Linked DNA regions of Oryctolagus cuniculus. The protein of the gene in region 2 interacts with the protein of the main gene of each other region in a pairwise test. Links are inferred from orthologs where the notes say so. Each region holds a gene or a part of one and is shown on either strand. Other genes may lie near its edges.

Evidence for each region.
Region 1: the proteins of LONRF1 (region 2) and keratin-associated protein 13-1 interact in a two-hybrid assay, tested with the Homo sapiens proteins (2 studies listed by BioGRID). The two-hybrid records come from large-scale screens. The link is inferred for Oryctolagus cuniculus from reciprocal best matches to the Homo sapiens genes LONRF1 and KRTAP13-1.

The regions. Positions count from the first base shown.
Region 1 is NC_091435.1:14,994,487-14,997,043, reverse strand, and holds keratin-associated protein 13-1, read left to right. Parts: upstream 1-1,050; 5' UTR 1,051-1,079; coding exon 1,080-1,631; 3' UTR 1,632-1,932; downstream 1,933-2,557. UniProt on the Homo sapiens protein: In the hair cortex, hair keratin intermediate filaments are embedded in an interfilamentous matrix, consisting of hair keratin-associated proteins (KRTAP), which are essential for the formation of a rigid and resistant hair shaft through their extensive disulfide bond cross-linking with abundant cysteine residues of hair keratins.
Region 2 is NC_091433.1:77,989,715-77,993,467, forward strand, and holds the start of LONRF1 (LON peptidase N-terminal domain and RING finger protein 1), read left to right. Parts: upstream 1-927; 5' UTR 928-1,034; coding exon 1,035-1,767; intron 1,768-3,753.

The sequences.
Region 1 (2,557 bases), on a different chromosome or scaffold from region 2:
CATGCAGAGTGTGTGTGAGTGACCACACGAGGGGCAGAGAATCAGAGACGGGAAAGGAGCCAGTCTTGCTCTTTTTATAACACTTTACTTTCATGAGAACTAATCAGGGTCCTACAAGAACTTCCAAAGACAGCACCCGCAATGATCTTCCACTAGCACACCCTTATCAACGTTTCCTCCACCTCCCAACTGCTGCACTGGAGATGGAGCTTCCAGCGCAAGAACCCCTGGGGAGCATTCTCAAACCATATTAAACCAGAGAAAACAGTTTTGAAGACTTAAATGAGGTTGGACCATCCATCCCCAGGGTTTGGGCTCAGGAAAATCCTGCCTTTCCCTCTGCTATTGCTCCTTGTTTCCTATCTCATCTAAATCACATCTACTACATTTTTTCCCTATGCTTACATCCATATCATTCTCTTTTTTGTTTTCACATCATTTTTCTGAATAGTAAATTTGTTCTATATGTTTGTGCAAGATGCTGTTCATTCCTGGTCATCTCTCAATTCCTTTGCCTTGGTTTTATGTGGCATATCTAGACTAAACATAGTAAACACTGATGATAAGTAACAGATGGAAATTATATTGGAGGATTTGAAACAACGCTTTGATGGTGAGGGAGTCTTTAAAAGGTTCCTTATTAAGACCAGATTTCTTCCTCTCAGTCAAGGACCAAGAGGGAGATGGCTGCTTTACAGTCCTCACCCTAGGAAGAAAGAATTCTCCAGCCCAAACAGGAGCAGATTTACATGTCATAGCCTGGGAAAAAACAGGGGCTTTCCTGGCTGTGATGGAGTAGACACTAATTACATACAGTCATAGCATTTATAGCATAAGTGTATTTCACTGACACAGAGCTGTAAAAACAAAAGGAGTTCACCCATAAATACAACATGAAGGGTGTTAGTTTGCTGCAATTACAAAGAAGTTTTACTGAGTGACGTATATGCAAATGAGGGAGTCTAACTATGGAAAAGATGACATTGTAAGTAAAGGGCCACACCCATTGCTGAGAGCATATAAATGTCCCAGTGACAAGTGACATCCAAACTCAGAACCTTCTCCCACCTCCAGTCACCATGCCCTACAACTGCTGCTCTGGAAACTCCTTCTCTCAGTCCTTTGGGGGCTACCTGCGCTACCCAAGGTCTTCCTGTGGCTCTTCCTACCCAAACAACTCGTTCTACAGTGCAGGACTCCAATGTCCCAGCACATGTCAGCCGGGCTCCTCTTTGTACAGTGGCTGTCAGGAGCCTGGCTGTGAGCCCACCAGCTGCCAGACTTCCTATGTGGTGTCCAGCCCCTGCCAGACGTCCTGCTACCGCCGGAGGACCTCCACACTCTGCAATCCCTGCAGGACAATTTACACGGGGTCTCAGGGCTTTGGATCCAGCAGCTGCAACTCCCTGGGCTGTGGATCTAGAAGCTCCTATTCCCTGAGCTGTGGACCAAGGAGCTGCCACTCCTCAGGCTGCGGATCCAGTGGTTTCAGACCCCTGGGTTATAGAGTCCATGGCTTTCCTTCACTGGGTTATGGATCTGGGTTCTGCCGCCCATCCTGCTCAGCCTCTAGGACCTGCCAGTCTTCTTGTTTCCAGCCAACCTGTTGGTCTGGATCCGGCGTCTGTTGATCATCTTATTAAGTTTCTAACGCCATTGACCAATGTCTTTAATGCCTCTATTAATAATTGTTATAGTCTTCCTATTTAGCTTCCTATTTTCTGATTATCAGTTTCTCACCCTGTCTCTGGCATCAAATCCTGGCTGACAGACTTCATCTGAAAATCTGTAATTTGTGTACTAACTCAAAATAAAGTCTAAAGTCTTCATTGGAGATAAAATTTATGTTATAGGATAACTACTCATTATTGTTTGAAAAAACAAATTTTTACTCAATAAATGCATTGATTCTGATTTAAATCTATATTAGATTTGTTTCATTATTTATTTGGTTCTAAAATATTAAAGAAATCATTATGAAATTATCAATGTATCTATACAGATTGGTTTTGAAAATCAATGAGGTGAGGGGCCAGCACTGTGGCATAGTGGGTAAAGCTGCCACCTGCAGGGCAGGCATCCCATATGGACGCCGGTTTGAGTCCCAGTTGCTCCACTTCCGATCCAGCTCTCTGCTATGGCCTGGGAAAGCTGGAGAAGATGGCCCAAATCCTTGGGCCCCTGCTCCCATGTGGGAGAGCTGGAAGAATCTCCTGGCTCCTGGCTTAGGATCGGCTCAGCTCCAACCATTGTGGCCATTTGGGGAGTGAACCAGCAGAGGAAGACCTATCTCTCTCTTCCTCTGCCTCTCTGTAACTCTGCCTTTCAAATAAATAAAGAAATCTTTAAAAAAAAATCAATGAGGTGAGTAAACTGACCAAACTTTTGGAGGCCTCAGATATTTTTATTACTCAAACTACAGGTAGGGGTTGACGTTGTGGCACAGAGTATTAAAGCCCTGGCCTGAAGCACTGGTATCCCATATGGGTGCTGGTTTTAGTCCCAGCTGCTCCTCTTCCAATCTGGCTCTCTGCTATGGCCTGGGAGGGCACTGGAG
Region 2 (3,753 bases):
ACTATAAATATTTTCAATTGAGAGTTTTACACTCGCTGCTGTCAACTTCCAGGAAGTATAACCCATTACCTACAAGTGGGATCATTTCTTTTTGTTCTGTCTGTAAAGCTGCAGACCCAACTCGGGATGTAGGGAGAGAGTACCTGCCGTGGGCAAGGCATCTTTCCTTGGGGAATACAGACTTCCCCCAGCTGGAAGGGGGATACAGCCGGCACCCCAAGAACCCGCGAGCTAGGAAATGAGTTTTGAACTGGAAAGGCCGCGGCCACTTGGCACCAGAAAAAACTGGAGGGAGCTGCGGACTTTTGCGTTTGTGTCTAATGTAGACCGACGGTAGTCGAGTCACGAAGTCGTCAGACGGCACTTGTCGCGGGCCCGCCACCTCTGTAACCTGAGGCATACACCTAAGACGCCACCCTGCACCTGACGACCCGGACTCCGCGCAGGGCGAGGGCGCAGGTCCCCAGCCCGATGGGGCAGTGCGTCGGGGGAGCGCGGGCGGCGTGGGCCTCCGTCCCGCGAGGAGGGGGTCCACTCAGCACAGCAGCGCCCACCGAGCAGAGGCGAGGGAGGGGGCCGCTGCAGGCGGGGTCGTCGGCGGGGAGGCCAGCCCCGGGTGGGTGATAAAGGATCCTTCGGGCTTTGTTTAGTAACACGCCAGGCCCTGCTCTCCCGAGAAACCAATTAGATCCCCGCTGCGGGATCATCTGACCTGCGTCCCCCACCCGCAGGGGGCTCGGAAGGGGCGGGGCTAGGCGGGGCCGGGCCGGCGACTCCTCGGGAACGCGGCCGCGGGTGGTGCGGGGGAGTCCCGAGCGCTGGACCCGGACCTGGGCCCGCCCCTCGGCAGAGGCCCCGCCCCACGCAGGCCCCGCCCCCGGGGCTTCCCGGGCGCGCGCCGCCCCGCCGTGTCCGCGCGCCACGCCCCCCTGCTCGCGGGCCGCGTGCGGAGCCGCGCGCCCCGTAGGCTCTGGGACCGTGGCGGCGGGCGGCGGCGGCGGCGGCGGCGGCGGCGGAGCAGCCGTCCGCGGGCCATGTCTTCTCCGGCCGTGGCGAGGGGCTCTCCGGGAGGGAGTCGGGAGACGGCCCTCAGGCCCCGGAGCCGAGGCCGGTTTTGGGAAGTGGGCGGCGGCGGCGGCGGCGGCGGCGGCGGCGACCAGCTGGAGCGCGCGGCCGCGGAGTCGGAGCGCTGGGAGCTGCTGCTCCGCCGCGGCGAGCTGCTGGCGCTTGGCGGCCACCTGAAGGGAGCGCTGGAGGCGTACGCGGCGGCGCTGCGCCGGGGGGCCCCGGTCAGGCCCGAGTGCCTCGGCACCCTGGTGGACTGCCTGGTGTTCAACTACCGGCTCCGCCACGGGCTGGGCTGGAGCGCGGCCCCGGCTGCCGGCGCGGGTGCGGGCGGGCTGCTCAGCTGCCTGGGCTGCCGCGGCTTCCTCAGCGAGCCGGTGACGGTGCCCTGTGGCCATAGCTACTGCCGCCGCTGCCTGCGGAGAGAGCTCCGCGTCCGCTGCCGCCTCTGCCGGGACCGGCTGCCGCCCGCCGCCGTCGCCAGTGCCGCGGGTGCTGAGGGGACCGGCCCGCGGCCGCCGCCTCTGGCCGCCGCCATCGCGGCCTCGGACTTCAGAACCAGCGTCGTCCTCAACCACCTGGCCGAGAAGTGGTTCCCGGGTCAGCGCGAGCGAGCCCGGGCGGCCGGCCGGCTCGGGGAGCTGCTGCTTCAGGGGCGCTACCGGGAGGCCCTGGCCGCCGCCTGCGAGGCGCTGCGAGCAGGTGACGGCGCGGGGATGCGGCGCGGGCCCGACCGACCCCACCCTCCTTTCCCGGGCGGGCCGGGTACCCAGAGCGGGTCTGCGCCCTGGGGCAGGCTCGCCCTGCTTCCCCGGGGGCCGCTGGGCACTCGGCGTGCGGGATCTCGGGGTGCTCGAGGGTGTGGGAGGGGGCGGCGCCCGGGGTGCTTCGGTCACAATGGGGATCGCCCTGGGAGCCCACTGTGACGCGGCGCGGGGAGGGGCGCGCGGGCGCGGGGTTCCCTCGGCCGCGGCCTGGCGCTCGGGCGCGCGCGCGTGCGGCGCGGAGCTGCGGGCCCCCGGGCCGGAGGCCGCCCTGGCGCGGGATGGGTGGGAGCTGGGGGAGCCCGAGCGGCCGCCCGCTTCCTGCCGCGCTCTTTCCGGGAATTGGCGGCTCGGGCCCGGCAGGGCCGGGCCACCCCGGGGGTGGGAGACGACATCGCGGCGGGGCGGGGATCCCCAGCCGAGGTTGGGCGGGCTAGGTCTACCTTCCCGACCCGCAAAAGTCACCGGGGCAATTGGAAGCCGCGGGAGGGCAGAATTGCATAAGCTGGGGTGGAGGGGCGTTGTGTAACGGGTGACGTCCGGTGGGCGTGGCGGGAGCTCGGCGCCCGCACCCAGTGCCGCGAGGCCCCTCCGGCCGCGGTGGTCAGCTCCTACCTGGAAGTGCCCGCGGAGTGGGTGCATCTTGAGGCGTCCACCTGCTCTTCTCAGGTCACGCCGGTTTCATTGTGCTGACTCCGGAATACGCCCAGCCCAGGGCAGGGATGCAGAGGTAGTCTCTAACCCAGAGTTACCGCCTCGCTTCCGTTCGCCTTTCCACTTAAGATCGAGCCCAGGGGGAAAGGCCGTGTAGGGCTTTTGTCTCTTCCTTTGTCTCCAGGACGCACCCTCGGCTTCCCAACTTCAGTTAGCACTTTTCCCAAGGCGGTTTTACATTGTGCCAGACGCGCCTGTAAAACTTCCGTTAGAAAAAATGAAGTTCTTGGATCAGTTCTTTTACTAGGGGGGGGGTTTCACTACCCCCTCCCCAAGGACATTATCCAGGGCAACATATCTGGCAGTGTCTAGGGACATTTTTGGTCCCCACCTCTTGTAGGCGTGATGCTGGTCCCGGCACTGTGGGCACTGTGCGGCTGACCTGCCACCGCCAAGAATGCAGGCCCCAGACGACCATCAGTGGCACTGTGGGCGACACTTGTATGAAGTGGATTGCAAGATTTTCATGTCGCTGTGTTGGCAGGAAATAATGCTTGGGGGAAATAATCCCCAAGGAAATAGACATGAAATATTAAACTGACTTTGGGTGTTAGGTAAGTTTAGACACTGTGGAACTGAAAATACCCTCCTGTGGGTGCTTAGTCATATTGAACCAGTGACAGTGTCTTGAGTTATTTAGAACCTTCAGAGTTCACAGCACAAACTTGCCATGTTTTTGAGGCCTTTTAGTGTGTCTGTGGAGGAGGCAGTTGTAAAATATGGTAATAGTCTCAGAACAAAAGGAAAATAATTGGGTATTAAATTCTGATACACCTGACTGCCTCTTGTGGGCAAATAAGCCAGAATTGGCTGGATAGAACACCTATCACAGACCATGTGAGAAAGCAAGGGCTGGAGCAGTGCAGTGACTTGCCCCAGTCACACAGCTGGCTGCTTGGAGAGGCAGCTGTGTGTCCCTTTCTAAAGTGGGCCTTGTGTTCATCTGGTCTTTATAGGTCATCCACTCAAGTGCTCATGCACATTTCCCAGGAGGGTTTTCTATCACTAGTATAAAATAGAGGATAAAACTCACCAACAGCACTATTCAGTATCTACGCCTGACATGGTGATATGACATTCTTTTAAATTAGGTTCTTTATAAGCTTTGAGGTCCTATTCCTTGGAAGAATAGTGAACACATTACAGATTTAAGTCTAGCTTCATGTTCTGTGACTAATATTTTTTTGAAAGTTTATTTTGTTTATTTGAA